Coturnix japonica: one gene and its partner. The protein of the gene in region 2 interacts with the protein of the main gene of each other region in a pairwise test. Links are inferred from orthologs where the notes say so. Each region holds a gene or a part of one and is shown on either strand. Other genes may lie near its edges.

Region 1 (8,297 bases), on a different chromosome or scaffold from region 2:
CCTGAGATGATCTTTTCACCTGTGACTTAGAGGTACTGAGTCAGATGAAGAGGCAATGTTCTTTCCCCCATCAGTCTGTCTTCACCCTAAGCAGAGAGCGTGCAGTCTTGCCTGGGGAGATGTATTTCAAGTGTCACAAGTGTTCTACTCTTTCTAGAGGGCTGTCTGCACAATTGAGCTCCATGATGAAGTCCAGGATTAAATTCTCACACAGCTTATGGAACTTGTAAGCTATGCAGTTGCATGATGAGGTTCTTGTAAAATAAAACTCAATTTTCCTCTTTAACTTTTTGAGTGAGAGCTGTTCAATATCTTGCTTTTTCAGACTGTTTTGTATCTAATAAGGTTAAAAGAAGAAAAATCTGTATTGCATCCCTTTTTTCCTGCCCAAATATACTTGGAGATACTTGATGTGATTTGAAGCATGCTTGCTGCTAACATGTTTGTGCTTTTTGTTGAGTTTTTAGTACTGATGTGTTGTTAAATTCGGTATTTATTGTAAATGTTAAAGCATGGCAAATGCTAAAGCACTGCACACTTCTTGGAGTAGTGATTAGACTTCCCTTTATCTCCCCAATGTATTTTGCTATTAACGTAGTGGAGAAGGGCCTGGTGTGTAATATAGCACCTGTACTCCAGAAAATAGCATTTTGTCAGTGTATTGGAAAGGAATTGGTTTGGTGAATTTTACTGATTCTTCTGCAAAGGAGGGAAGAGAATGAGGAGTGAAGGGCTGAAAGAAAATAGGGAGAGGAAAACAGAAGGTGCCTTTCAGTTCCAAGTTGTCTTTTTGAGTTGATGTGAACAGTAAGATCATCTGGTGCCATCACAGAAGGCCTTTGTGGAGTTCAGTGTTGCAGCTGATTCTGACAGCTAATTAGAAAAGGTGCTAGCTGTGATTTAAAGATAGTGTTACAAAGGTAGCATTGTATACACTTAGAGGAACCTTTCTAGAACACAATCAAAAAACACAGTGTGAGAAAGACATGTACAGCTCATTGAGCACATAATTAAGACAACAACATCTGCAAACTTGCCATCTTCCATCAGCAGTAAAGGATACTTACACTTAAGATTGAAGAGTGTTCTAATTAAGAATCACACACTGGGAAGTTCTGAATAGCAAATTGGTTGGTGAGTGTAGCTGACAGACCTAATTTATCACTGCTTTACATCTGTGTAAAGTTTGAGTAATTCTGTACAACACAAATGTCTGTCAGGCCCTTTATACCTCCTGTATATACCTCCTTTATACCTGCAGTGTTTTTTAACTGATATTCCACAAAAGCCAAGCTGTGGACTGGAGAAAGATGCGTTTCAGCATCTCTGTTGCGCAGTGCTGCTGGTTTTTACCTTTCTGTTTTATGGTCTATTTAGCTGCAATGATCACTAAGCTATTTGTCAGACTGTTACTCTCAATTCTGTAGGTCTCTCCATATTTCTACGTTCATGATACCTTATACCTTTCAAATCTTGTCTGTAACTTTTTGTACGTAAGAAGAGCAGTAAAAGCATCTTAGACCTTATTTTGTTGATTCCCAATTTGGAATCTCAATTTTGCACCTTAAAAGGCTATAAATTCTCTTGTATTTCAAGACTTTTTGTTATCTGTAGTCATGAAGGCAAGCAGGAATATGTGCAAGACCCCCTGGATGATAAATGGAAACACATGCCAAAAATTATGCCCGTGGTATAATTCACCCTAATTAAGGCTGCTGGACAAATAAGGTGTATACAAAGTATAAAACATGCTTTGACTTTTTCTAACACCACTTCCAAAGACTGGAATGAAAAGATAGAGGAAGAAAAATTGGGTTCTGAGGGCAGTACTGGGATTTGTGGTTTAAAAAGGATCTGCTGTTTATTGGCTGTATTCTCCTCCGTACACAGAGGTTGGAAGAGGAATGATACAAATGCAGCATTAGCAGTGCCTCAATGAATAAGACTCTCGAGGGACTGTTTTGTAAATCAGTTCCCAGGAGTTTGATAATGTACATCTCAAACATCTTTATCTAAAGTATTGTGACATTGTCAGTCCTCAAAGAAAAGCTCTAATAGTGACAGATTTTTGACAGATCCATTAGTGTGTAAGAAATGTACTTTTTAATTATGAGCTGTGGAATTTGGTTAAAATGTGATGCTAAAGTTCACGGTAGTCTTTTGCTCCCCGTTATAAAAGAGTGTTTGAAAAGTTCATAGATCACTCTTGCACAAAACTACCGGTCTCCAACGTTCCTCCTTCTTTAAGCAGGGACACAAATTGTAAGACACAGTCTAAGTGACCCTTTTGTTGTTGATGGTGTGAGCAGTTTCAGTAGTTTCCAATCAGGGTTCCAACACTAAGGCTGATAGAAAAGACTACACTTGAGAAAGTGGTGTTACCAGTCCTGCAATCATCTGGCAGTTACAGTTTCAGTTCTCTGTCCTCCTATGTGCATCGGTCACTGCTGGCCTAACAGTTTCTTGTTCTTGGTTCTTTGGGTGCTCCTTCAAGCTACAAATTTCCACTTGTTGGTTCTATTGATTTCCAAAGTTAGGAAAAGAAACGGAGTTTCGAAGGACAGGTTGAAGTCTGGGATGCATAAGTTTAGCTTGCTCACTAAGCTGCTAGTCCTGAGCTGACCGGAAGATGCAGCTCTGGAGTGGTTGTGAGGGTTGATGCTCCTTGGGAACAGCATCATCTGTGAAGTGATGCTGACTTCCAGGCTGAGAACTAAGTCTTCTTTATAAAGCAGACCACAAGCACAGTTAAGATCCTTTTCTAGTTACTTAAGCAGTGTGTAAAATAAATGTGGTTTCTTCTCTGAAAATCTTCAAATGGGTTTTGGATATTGCTCTTTTATGGCCTTGTTAAGGTAGACTAATATATAAGGAAATTTTCAGTTTCAAGTGAAAAAGGATGAGGTGTGTTTTGTGCAAAATGTCACGAGGGTGACTTTAATTGTTGTACAAAGCAGAATATAGAATAACAGTAATTGTACTTCACAGGATTCCCAACATTTTTATACAATTCTTGGATTCTGTGGTCTCTGTAACAAAGGGGTTTTTTAATGAGTAATCCTTGTGAACTTCTTTATACACAAGCATATGATCAGTCCCTTCCTATTAAAAGGTTTCTGCTTGCCCGTATATTTTCTTGTTCCTTTGTTTGTACATGTACTCTGCCCAAGATGAATAGGGTGTACCACCCACACCTACCGACTTCCTTTTCCCTTTTTTCAAGAGTTGGAGGAAAAAAGTAAATGCAGCTCCTTGTAGTTGAGCTCTTTTGTTCCCACGGTCTACAGAATTTGGGCTGAAGGTGCTCAGACAGCTGAGAATTCACATCGTGCTTCTGTTGGGTGGGGAGGTTGCTGCATAAGAAATTGTGTTCTCTCTCTGGAGTTTATTGTGCAGGTATGTGGCCCTGTATAACTCCTCATATCTGCTACCCATCTGAAACTCATAATTATGCTCCCAAATCTAATGGTTCATTTTTAAATACACACTTTTGAAGGTTAATCTTCAAAACATGAGGGGAGTAGAAACTGTTTTTGTAATGTGCATTTTCAGTTCAGGCTCTAAGGAGGGTAAAGCAGTGAAACAAAGTGGTGCCTTGAGCATTAGCAGTAACATTTAGAGGAACAATGTTCCATGCAGTAAGTGGGGAGAAGGAGCAGGGAAGGATGCAGCAGGTAGTTGTCAAGCTTATCTGAAGTGAGGCAGCCTGAGCTAATGGTGCTTTGCTGCTCTCAACCTGTGACCTACTGATTGCTGCCTTGTTGCTGCTCAGAATTAAGAGCCAGTTACTCACTTGAAGGGAGTGAGGAAAACTGTTTCCCTTTTCCTCAAGAAATAGCACTTGGTAGGATCAGAGTGTAAAATCTAAACCAGATGTTGAATGCTAGTATCCTGTGCTCTTCCTGTGCGAGAAAGCAATCACAGGACTGAAGCAGAACTTGGTACTGTATAGGAGTGGAAAGGACAAGTTACAAGCTTTTCTCAGTATCTGATCAGCAGAGCTATTCTTAAGCCGACTAGAAAAATATGGAGCATGACAAGAGATTTTTTTGCTGTCATTACTAATGTGGCTTTTAAGCTTTTTCCTAGAGTCTGTTTTCTAAACTGATGCAGTAAAGCAGCCCATGGGAATGACTTACTTCAGGGTGTTTAAGTCTGGTGAATAATTAGTAACACGTGTGTTCATATTTAACCTTTTGCTTCTTCCTTGCAGGTACAAACTGAAGACAGTGTCCTGTTGTTTGTAGTGGCCTGGACAATCACAGAGATAATCCGTTACTCTTTTTACACCTTTAGCTTGTTAAACCATCTCCCTTATCTCATTAAATGGGCCAGGTAGGTGGCAATTAAAAATAATAATAATAATAATGGCCTTGAAGCACTGTTTTGATGGAGGTATTTCTCCTGTAATGTAGTTGCAGCAGAGCAAGTTATGTTCTGTCTCAGTGTAATTGTGCTGTTAGTGAAAGTGACTTCCTAGATTCCTTCCAAAGATTTCTGGATTTGAAATGTATTAAATGTTAGCTGAAAGTACTTTATTAGAACTCAGTACTGTTTATGAAGTGATTATGGCAAGTAAACTAATGTCTACCAATAACCATTGAATCTGAGGGTTGTACCTGAAACAGTTGAGCTCGCTAATTAATACTGACTGGCCCTATTTTAATGATATGTTCTCAACTAAGGAGTTTGATGTCCTCGAGTACAGAGTTTGGACATCGAAGTAATGAAGTGTGGGGGTGCGGGAATTGTTTTAAAGATACCATTCAGATTCTCAAAGATGGTCCTTTTAATAATTCAGAACTGGTTGTTGATGTCAATATTTTGTCTTGCATTGATGTTCGTATACTGCCGTGCTCAAATCAAAGTTAAGGGTCTAGAAGTTGAACATCCATAGCTGTACTTATGTACTTTGTCACAACTTTTAATCCTTTTCTTAAATGTTTTGTTCTAGGTATACTTTGTTTATAATATTGTACCCAATGGGAGTCACTGGGGAATTACTCACAATATATGCTGCACTACCCTACGTCAGGCAGTCTGGCTTGTATTCCATTAGTTTACCTAATAAGTACAACTTTTCTTTTGACTATTACACATTCCTGATCCTGGTTATGATCTCTTACATTCCACGTAAGTACAAGTTTGTTTGTTCTTTAATATTAAAAGCAGTGTCGGGAAAAGCTAACAATTGTGGGATTAGCATCTACACAACTCATTTTACAAAATTCATTGTGAAGATTATTTAAAGAAAGAAGTCAGAGTTAAAACTGCAGGGGTTGCTTCCTAGCAATGATTATAATATAGTAATATGTGTTGTTTTTTTTTTCTCTTACATTTGATACATAAAATAACCGTAGTGCTCAGCAAACATTGACATCTTCATTTTGTTCCCACTTACAGACTTCAGGAGAGCAAGATTTAAAGAAGTTTCTTAAAATGTGGTTCAGGGATGCATTTCTGTTGAATTAACTTGAGTTGATACTGTCTTTGGTGAATGTTTTTACAGGTGAAGGTTTGGCTTTGCTGCTTAGAAACAGTGATTAAGAGCGTGTAGGTCTTCAGCCAATTTAGATTTGCAGATGGAGGTTTAATGTGCAAAATAATGCAGTGGCACTGATGCTCACTATCTCTGTAGCTGTGTTTTTATGAACGTTGTTACTTATGCTGAGTGACAAATGGTATTCTAAGGTTTTAATTTCAGTACTGTGGCTGTCTATAAGCGCTTCTTCTTTCTGTGAACTATTTTGGACATCAAAATTTGTGACTTCTTCCTGCTGCTCCTAAGAATTCTTTTTATACACATGTAGCTATCCTCCAGAAACACTGATATTACTAACTCCAAGGAGCCAGAGCAATATCTTTTGTTCCTCCCCTAATAAACACAGGTATTAATTACTTCTTATGAGATTGCTTGCTCCCAACTGACAAACCACATGAGAGAGAAGTACATTGAACTCAAATAATTTCAGCCCTGTTTCTCCATTAAAATTGCAGTCTTTCAGATATTTTGTAACTCATTATCCTTTGCTGGTTGTGTAACTTAAATTCAGCCTTTTTAAAAATTATTATTATTTATTATTGTGATTTGGTATCTTGCTTCTGAGAACTGGCTGTGTGGACTTGAGAAATCATAGGTACCTTTTCACAGGCGGATATTCCTGTATTGTTCCAGAGATTCAAGAAAAGCAGCAATCATTGCAGTTATTCATAAAAGCAAGCTATGCAGGAAGCTTGTCTTCTGAACCCGCTGCAGGTCTTAGGAATTTTGGGAAGGTTAACATCATGAAGAAAGCAAGTTTTAAATCCACTGTTAAAATTTAAGATTAATATTCTTGATAGTTGCATCTTACCATTGATCTGGCTTAAAGTATCAAAGTTAGTTCTTGGCTGTCAAATAAACATCTTGCCAGATATCATTCAATTCTTTGTGTATAATAGATACCAAATATTTAAACTTCAAAAAGAAACCACATGGCTCTGTATACTTCTGTGTTTCCGGACAGATGTATTCACTACTTAACACGGGCGAGTGTAACTGTTGGTATTGACCTTATTTTATCTTCACGTTGCTCACAAAGATGGAAGCTTTTGCTGTTTTGCATCTCCTGTTTCACTCTTCTGAAAACATACTGTGTAATGTAACCTTAGAAATAGGAGGAAAGAAGCTTTGGAGGGAGGATAGGGATGCAATGGCCACCAGTTTTTTTTAAATACTGAAAAAGAGACACTGGAATCATAAGATATGAAACAAACCTGTGAATTTCGTTCTTTCTGGTGACTTCTGTTTCTCATGGTACTTTTTTTTCCTCCCCAAAACGCAGTTTATTGTCTGCCTGCAGGTCAAGAAACTTTGTCGTTTCTCTTGTATGTGCAAAGTTAATTATGAAATAATGTATTTTGCCTTGAATTAAAAATGGCATCGTTCTAACAAAAATTAAGCAGTACCTGAAGATTAAGGGCAATATTGCTTGTTTTTAGCCAGAAGATGATTTGAGCAGAGTGGAAAAGCAGATTTTCTTTTAACAGAATCAGTGACCTTGAGTATATGAGTGTGTTTTACACCAACGACAGAAGCCTGACTTCTTCTTTTGTCTGTTTTCAGTCTTTCCCCAGCTGTATTTTCACATGCTACATCAGAGGCGAAAGGTGCTTTCCCACACTGAAGAACACAAGAAGCCGGAGTAATTTCAATTCTTTCAGAACTTTTCAAACATTGAAATGCTGCAGATTTTCAATACCAAGCATATTTATAATGAATACACCAAAATAAAACGTGTCAAAGGTAAAAGACCAATAATTAGCAAGAATAACCAATAAATCTGAGTTCACTGAAATTCCACAATGTAAAACATCCAAATAATTTTCAGCTTGCAGTGCTTCGGAAAACTTCTAAACTTTCCCTGGCTTGGCAGGTAGCCTTTTACTTTTCATTAACTGTTGTGCTAAATGGTTTTTGTTTTTGTTACTAAATGCCTGAAGGTTACAGTATGAATGATGAAATTGTACTCACTAAATGCCTGAATTGGGATTGTGTCACTGATACCTCTCTTTTTTTCCAAGTGCTTGACTGCATGCCAGAAACTGTATGTATTGCTGTGGAAGCAAACAATATGCCCTGGAATGCTTTAGGATTTTGTCAGAGACTCCAGTGGAGAACGTAATCCGGGCAGTGTTTGAATTTAGAAGGGTAGGTTGTGTATTTAAAAGGTGATGGAAACAAGAACAGAAAAACAATTATGGGAAGTGAGGGGAATGTGATTCATTAGGATTTTAAACAGTAGGGTGTCTGACCAGAGAGCATTCTTTGAAGGTCTTGTTTAAGCTGATTACTCAAATGTTGATGTTAATTCAGAGGCTATAATGCTCATCTGAAACATTAAAACTCGTTTAAAGTACTGCAGCCCTGGATGCTTTTTTTAAATATAGAAGAAATAAAAAATACTAACTGTAATATTTTCTTGTGATATCTGTAATTAATTTAAAGAATGTAAGGAGGCGAGTCACCCCAAAATAGGTGCAGCTTCTCCATTTTTGACTTTAAATGATCATCTCTAATCATTGTCCACTATTTCAGTGGTACTCATCTTTTAGTGTTAAGAACTATTTGGTCTACTGTGGAATCACCTGAGGACGTGTTCTTCAACATGACTTGTCTTAATTGATTAATGTATATCACTTTAGAACATCCAAACATGCAAGTCTAGGCACTCAGCTTCTGAAACGTTGTCAAAAACCCTAAATAACGTTTTTGAAAGCAGATTATCTCATGCATTACTTGCTGCTTTTACAGATTG
Region 2 (8,297 bases):
TGGCAGATACATGCCAAGCTAGAAACAGCAAGACAAAAGCATTTAAGAGTGCTTAAAAAAACGTGTGGCAAGACATTTGGAATAAGACTACAATGCTAACAAGAGATACAGCGCAAGCCTGCAACGGACTTACTTAACTACTGGATGTGGGCTTGATGTAAACCTCTCATCCAGTCCATACACAAAAGGCATGCGGAAATAAAACAGAAAATAGATGAACAATGGACCTGTATATTCTATCAAAAATACCTGCAAAAAGAGAGAAAATAATTAGACAGCTGAATTAGATGGTAGTTCTGCTTTGGTTTCTTTGTAATAAGTAATGCAGTGGGACAAATACTTCCACTGACCCAGAATGGCATTTAGAGATGCACAGGGAGAATAGCGGGATTGGGCTTAGGCTATGAAATCAGTAGACATGCACATAAATGTTTTGCAATGCATTTGCCTCAACTGCATACAAACAGCCATTGCTAATGCAGCTGACACAGCATGGGAATGTAAAGGTATTCATGGTAGCCCAGAGATCATGATAAATGAGCATGCAGGTTACACTTATGCAGCTCTCACCCTCCTCTTGCCCTCAAAACCTATTTTTTTTACTTATTCTTGGTTAAAATGAAATGAAGAATTTATCTTGAAATATATGTGCTTTATTTTTCATTAATGAATTTCATTTAAAATAGAAACACAATTTGCAAGTGTTCAGATGACCCCATGCGTATGAGCAGTTAGCACATCAGATATTCCAGAAAACAATTCATTCTGTGCTCAAATAATCCTTCATTTGGAAAAATAAAACAACTACCACCAAGAACAAAGTAACAACTAGAGGAAACTAAATAAGCTATTATCTAACTTAATTTCATTTCAGATGGGAGTGTATTTCTCATGAGCATCACTTTATATTGAGAATGACTTTGGGCTAAGTATTAACAGTTGAATTTTCCACTTTTCTGACTGAGGAAGTTACGTCAGCACCTCATTTTGGTTTTTTTTAGAGAAAAAAAGGAAAGCTGGTTGTTCAAAAAAGCACAAAATATGTCACATTTCTCCTGTGTTTAGTTATTCTGACTGGGAGAAAAGTTAAACAACTTTTTGTATCAACTTCTGTAACAGAATCAGCATTTTCTGTGTCAAAGGTAGGATTTGATTGCCTTTTTGATTTGATTTCTATCAAAGCATTTCTTGGCTTACATTTGAATGAAGTAGATTGAAGGAGAGGGAGAGCAAAAGGTAAAAGAAGAATAATGGATTGGAAGAAGTCTGGTGTGTGATATTTTGGTGTATATTCAAGTATGTTTGTCTTGGAATCTATGCTGTCATTCATTTTGCTCGTCTTACTGATTAGTGGTTTGTGCATCAGCTGCCTTACTTATCAGCATAGCAGCCAAAGAACTGATCTAAAGATTCAGACTTGTAGATTTTTATTATTTTTTAATTTTTTTTTTTTTGCCTCCTATGAATCTATTTATCAATGAGACAATATTTTATTAATATTTCATAGGTAAGAAATAGTAAACGTGTCTTTAAGTTACTGGGTACCTTTTTCCTTCATGCTATGCTGTTTCATTAGAAGTCATTCTAATATGTGCACTATGGACTTTCTGAAGGACCTTCAAGAGTCACTGATCACCTCGTATAAACATGAATGTAGGGTCACCTGCTGAGGGTGTTGTGATGGGTCTTGTCTTTAAGTTGAGAGAGTAAACATGAGGTCTTCATGGATTACAGAATGATCAGCTGTCATTAGCCTGGCATTAGCATCCTGGGACACAGCCATGAACAACTAATTTTACTTTCATGAATTTTCCCACTGAGGTCAGCTGAGTCATTGACAGGTAAGTTTTTCAGATGCCTCTTCACAGGACAAACTTGGGAGTTTAATCCTGATCTCTGCCAGGAGAGATGCACAGGAATTTAGATATGTAGTTCCCCGTGATTTTGCATTAGACATGTAAACATATCTGAGAACCTGTACCTTAGTTCAGCATGGCCAGACTAACCTGTAGCAAGTTTTCCTCTGCTGCTCTCCTAGGGAACTAGACATTCAAAATGTTTTCTTGCTGCTTTCCCTGGATAAAATGAACTGAAGCAAATGAGGGTTCATTGCCTGCATCCACTGTCAGAGCAGGCATCATGCAGAAATATTGGAGTGAGACAAAAAGTGATGTAAAGATTAATTATGGAGAAACAGCCATCAAATTGGCTCAGATTTGAAGCATAGCTCACCGTAGTCCATCCTATCTGTGGCCCTAAATCTTTAAAGTATAAAGTAGCAGTTGTGCCAACAGGGAGGTGCTGCAGGATTTCCTCATTCCTCAGGGACTTTCCTTCTGAGAAGGAAAGAGGTAATTACATCTCAGTGAAATTCAAATCAACTACACTAGCAAACTAGCTCCATTTGTACTTTTAAAAGTCTCTGAGATTCTTTGACCTGACATAAGTTTATTGCAATCTAAGTTTAAAAAATTCTAAGGAAGTTTACGCTTAATTTTGAATTCCCCCTGGGATAACATATAGATCCAGGTCTTCTATTCACACCGAGACAGAAGAATTCCCAGTCCTGTCTGTCTGCCTAGTCTGGTAGACCTGCTTCATCACTGCTACAGCAGAATTTGCTGATGGGACACTACCCTTTAGTATAGTTCACTGACCTAGTCAGCTTCACCATATCTCTCTCTTGCCTGCTTCTCATTGCTCATCAATAGACACAAAGATGAGATAAGCTGTAAAGGGAAGGCCTTCCTTCAGAGGTTTTTACTACCTGATTTTGGTTGTTTGTTTTTTTTTCCAAACAACCAGCCAAGAGATGATTCCACAGGAACTAAGCTGGAGCTCAAGTTTTTTAATGTCTGGATTTGGAGGAATCTGAAAAGGTAGATCTTTGAAAAAGGAAATAAGGCACTTATATACCTGTTTTCCACGGACAGATTCTAAATGATGAACTAATTATCACTAGCATAATTTTAAAGGGAATATATAAATCAAATTAAGCTTAATAGAAGCAGAAGAACAAAGTGATACATTTTGTACTGAACGCTAAGATGATTTAATGTAATTTGTCAATTAGACTATCTTTTGTGCACCCAAGCCATGTACTACAAGGCTTCCAGCAGTGATACCTGCAGCTACATTAATCCAGTCAACCACCTGGCATCAAGATTTGTCAGCAAATTCGTGGCAATATGTTTTGTATTTGCTTACCTCAAAGGAATTTTAATTCCTGCCTGAGAGCAGAGGATTATATGAATTAATATCTCCTTAGTGCTCCCAGTTTAGAGTCTCTATGGGAATCATTCCATTGCAGATAAGGGAAATTATTGTCTAAAATCTGTGCTGCGTGTCTTTAAAGCAAAGGTGATCAGTAGTTAGAAAATGCATTGGAACAATATGCAGACTCCTGAGTTAATTACCAAGTGCCAAACACATGGATGAACCTCTTTTCAATACTTCAAAGGAATTAGATTTTTTTTTTTGGAGCCTTTTCAGCCTTTACAGTGCTAAGTAACATAGCTGGAAACTCATTTTTAACAGCTAATACCTATGCAAAGTCCACCTTCCATGTGAGACCACTGCTTAGAGCTTTATGACTCTAGTCTTTACAGGTACTTACTTGGATCAAGCTTTATTGACTGTCTTGCTGGATACCACTGAGGATCTGTAAAACCATGAAGAACTGTGTGATATACAATGTTTGTTTTAGATTGTCCAGTTACAATGAATGACACACAATACAGTGAGATTTATTTGAAGATACTTAGGAATATTAATTTAATATGAACATCCACAACAAACTGTGCAGCAGGAAAAATACAAAGGTGTATCAGGCTAGTACTGAAATCTCACTGTGATCACGTTCATGTGCAAGTTACCTCACATTATCATGAAATCATAGAATGGCTTGGGTTGGAAGAGACTGTAAAGATCATCTCATTCCAAACCCTACTGTGTGTATGCATCATGTTTCATCTTATATAATTTTCTCCTGTTTCCATACTGGATATTCTGATGTAACACAAACTATTGCAAAAGTTATACTCACATAATTTATGGAACATTGATCTTATCTCCCTAATTGTAGCATTTGGTTCCACCTAGGCAAAAAAGAACATATATACATATATGTATATAAGATGCATATTTATGAAGACAGCTATTAGGATTGGTATGAACAATTCAAAACACTTCTTACAGGAAAAGCGGAGGACCTGATTTGTGGCATCTGTTTCAGAGGCAGCTACTGTGGCAGTACTCAAAGTGTTACTACAGCAGCAGTGAGAGTTTGAGGGCTTCTAAATGAGAAAGGGACAACTGGCACCATCTTACAGAAGCAAGTGAAATTGTGTTCTTTGCACAAGAGCTCCTTTGTGAAGAGGTATGAAGCATATGAAGCATGAATAGTTATTGTCTCCTTAATACCAAAGAAGGGCTATCAGAAAACTTTTCACAAACATTAACTTTGCTTTAAAAAGAGCTAGCAATTTTTAAATAGTCACCTAAAGTTTTGGGCAGATTTTTATTTTACCTTATCTAGGAAGCATAATTGTTCCTTTGTCTTCCAGTCAAGGATTTCCACCTGATAGGATACAAAACAATAATCATTAACTACTGACTGCATAATATCTAAACTTTTAGTTGACGATCAAATTCACAATCACTATTCAGAATGAGACACCATTTTTCTCCGTTCTATGTGTTAGAAAAAATTCTGATGTGCTCAAGAACAGTTTTAATCACAGCGAGGTTCTCAAAGAACTCAATTTGTGAACAAAAGTAACACTCTTGCCAAATAAATTGTCTTCCTGGATAAATTCAGAAGCAGCAGTAGCTAATTAACTGACCAAAATATGCATATTCATATGCATATTCATGTTATCTTAAGCTAACACAAAAGGAACAAATGAAGGAAAGAGAAGTTTCACGCAAATCATTAAGAAATCAGTTTGTCTTCAGAACTGTTCTGATTTGTAAATCTAGAAAGACCATTTGAGAATGCACACATATATGCATGGAAGCAAATACTGTGAATATGTGAATTTTAATCAACAGCTGAGCAGGAAGGTTCTGAGATGATTCAAAGTTCCATTGCAACAGGCTCTTAAAATACACTGGTTGTGTTTTAATTCCATTTGTTTTCATCAAACACCCAGTAATGGAACTCTGTGGTACAGCTAAGATTGAAGAATAAAAGCTTATCCGTCACACTAAATGACTGTGACCGTCATTCCCCAGTTTGGGTTTTGTTCTTTGGTTTTGTTTATTTTTACAATAAATGTCTACCATTAATTACATTTGGTATTAACTGACCAAGAGGACAGATTAACAGTAGACTTTAAACATGATTCCTGACTAAAAGTCGGAGTCACAGTCCAAAATCTTTCTAACAGTTTCTTTGAAGAGATCACTCTGAGTATCTTATTTCCTCCTTTTACTTGTCCCAAATTGTTCTCTCTCTGTTAGTGTAGCAATGAAGCACTTCAGCTCCAGACAGAAGTATCAGATCTGATCCCCACAAGGGATACTAATGCGGTAGTATTTTCCACCTGTGCACTATAAGCCCTAAAGGAGGTGCTGAGGGAGGTAAGCACTTTTCCTCCTTTGCAATTCATGAAGAATCTATGCCATGTTATTGGGGTGTTATGTATTTCTCTCTTTGTTGTTGTGGTTTTTTTAATGTATATTTGAAACAATGTAAATTATCAGTGTTACTGCCTCTGTGGGAGATCTCAGTGGGAAAGCAAATGAAGTGAATTGTGTTACTCTGCAGTACTGACAGCATTCTGACTCTCACAGCCCACCAAACAGGGACCTTGGGGGTTTTAGATCAGTTTTTGTCCCTTGTAATGCTGAGTTTTATTGCTCAAATGCTACAAGGTTTATTGAAACCTTTGGTGTATCTCAGTTTTTGTATCAAAGAACACCATTGGGCAGCCCTACTAACTACAGCAATGATTAGTTTAGAAGCCTCCTCCTCATTTCATACCCACGGACAGCATGTGCATATTGGATTGGAATCTCTCTCCCCATGCAGTTTTATTCTATGACTTTCAGTGTCCATGTTAGAGAAGTCCTCTCCAGGCCAATTACAGAGCAGTCTGGCCATCTTTCTGCTCTTCTGTTTTGTTTACTCTCATGTTGCACAAGGTCAGACAGAAAATTACAAGACATTTTCTTTTGCTCTGTGTTCTTCTTGGGGGCATTTGGGCAGAAATTCTGCTATTTCTGTGAACCACTGGAATCAGTATGGAAAAAAATAAAACAAATCATCCAGGATCTTCTGTATCCCTATTTGGTTTGATGGCAAGATGTCTCTTTGGAGTGCCAAACTGGCATACCTTCCTGTATCAGCCCATTTCTTCAAAAACATAATAGGAGCCTCTATGATGCATCCAAACTTATTTGAAGGTGCAGTGTCAGTGATGAGAAGCAATGGACAACAGCTGCATTGTGGGAAAATCCAGTCAGATACAAAGAAAATGCCCCAATATTTGACCAAGTAGCCTAGAGGCAATGTAGAATCTCTGTCTTTGGACGTGTTTAAAACTGGGCTGGACAAGACCCAGTGCAGTTAGATCTAGTTGCATCTGCTTTGAGCAACAGCTGGCCTACACAACTTCCAGAAGTCCTTTGCAACCTCTGTTATTCAATGATGAGGAATTTTTGGACAGTCCTTCCTGAACTTGAAATATTTTGGTTACTATCAGTTACTTTTAGGATCTAAGGAAATATCATACATGTTTTCCTCTTTCAGAAAGAGGAACACAAGAATACAGCTGTAGATTCCATTGCAGCCTGCATAAATTTGTATGACAACAGAGTGAAAGCAAAGGTAACCATTTCCTTTAACCATCATGCCTCTTATCTGTGACAAAATGTCCTCACAGTAGTCAGCTGTTCCCTGCATAACAGACAGAAAAAACTGATGCAAAGTATGAAATGTTATCTTTTCTGAACATAATGGCCAGCCACATGAACCTAGATAGCACTGAACACAGTGTTTCCAGCCTTCGGGCACAGCACCAAGTCAGTTAATGTATTGGTTGGCAACAGTCTTTAGATACCCAGCAATCTGTTCTTGGAACACTAACTGATGTGTACCAGCCCTTTTAAACATAAATTTATGGCTCAGAGAATTTTAATTTTGGAGCATCCTTAAGCGTTTAGAAGAACAGGACACAGACAGCCCATTTGCACTAGTGTGGTGTGACTTGCAGATCACGTATTTGGTGAATTTTTGAAGGCATTTTAACTTACCACTTCTCTAAAACTATTTTGAATAGAATTTAATCAATAGGCAGATTTGTGCAAGATACCTGTTAGTTAAAACACTTCTGGAAGTGACTACAAGGACAGACCTTCAATGTTTAGAAGGCAAATTTGTTCTCATGAATATGGAGCAAATATTGATAGTGTCTTAAAGGGCAGAGAAAAAATCTGAAATATTGTTTAGAACGGGTCAAGATCAAAGTAATCAACTGATGATGGAAGCCAAGAAAACTACTTTCAAGCGTTAGACTTATATTCAGAGGCTTAGAAAGTTTATCCATAGAGGGGAAATGGTTGAGCAAACTGTTTGATTTTTATTTTTTTTCAGATGGTGTCTCTTTAATAGGATTATAAAAATACAATAAATCAAATTCTCCCAGCTTCAAGCCTGTTTGATGCTTAAGCATCAACAGATATTCAAAAGTGATGTGGTAACTTTGAGGAAATACTGACACATCATGTTTCTGTTTGTTGGAAGCTTTATTTGCAGTCATTTGTACTCAGCAGTTTCAGTAAACTTCAAACTCCAGCTTAGAGTGATTTTCTGAACACCAACATAAGCAGATGTTATATTGGTTTAGTTTTACATTAGAAAAAAAAAAAAAAATACAACAACCTCAAACTGCTTGTTTTATAGCCTAGGAACTCAGCAGCCCAAGAGAAAGCTATGCAAAATGGATTGATTATCCCTGAACTATTTCATTGTTATCTATGGAAAGCTATTATTCTGTCAGTAGTCCAACTACATAAAGCACAACCTCTCTGAAGAGCTGATATTTCATGAAACTAGCATATTATTACTATTTCACCTAGTTTTAAAAAGGAGATGCAGTGATACTTGGACAGTTAAATTTCTCTTTCATAAAACAGATGTCTCACATGCACAGGTTCACAAAACACACACCAGGTGTTTTACTCCTCAGCCTCCAAAATTCTGCTCCTACATATGCCCATGAGAACCATCATCTGGAGTGTGCTGAAACTCAGTATCTTTTCATTTCTTCCACCTGCTTCAGACTTGTTAGCTA

Evidence for each region.
Region 1: the proteins of very-long-chain enoyl-CoA reductase-like (region 2) and HACD2 interact in binary tests that used the Homo sapiens proteins (3 or more experiments, as listed by UniProt). The link is inferred for Coturnix japonica from reciprocal best matches to the Homo sapiens genes TECR and HACD2.

Annotation. Positions count from the first base shown.
Region 1 is NC_029522.1:19,844,247-19,852,543, forward strand, and holds part of HACD2 (very-long-chain (3R)-3-hydroxyacyl-CoA dehydratase 2), read left to right. Parts: intron 1-4,213; coding exon 4,214-4,335; intron 4,336-4,954; coding exon 4,955-5,133; intron 5,134-7,105; coding exon 7,106-7,188; 3' UTR 7,189-8,297. UniProt on the Homo sapiens protein: Catalyzes the third of the very long-chain fatty acids (VLCFA) elongation four-step cycle (condensation, reduction, dehydration, and reduction).
Region 2 is NC_029523.1:11,907,086-11,915,382, forward strand, and holds part of very-long-chain enoyl-CoA reductase-like, read right to left. Parts: intron 4,580-8,297; coding exon 4,529-4,579; intron 4,098-4,528; coding exon 4,046-4,097; intron 3,662-4,045; coding exon 3,617-3,661; intron 2,337-3,616; coding exon 2,233-2,336; intron 250-2,232; coding exon 134-249; intron 19-133; coding exon 1-18. UniProt on the Homo sapiens protein: Involved in both the production of very long-chain fatty acids for sphingolipid synthesis and the degradation of the sphingosine moiety in sphingolipids through the sphingosine 1-phosphate metabolic pathway.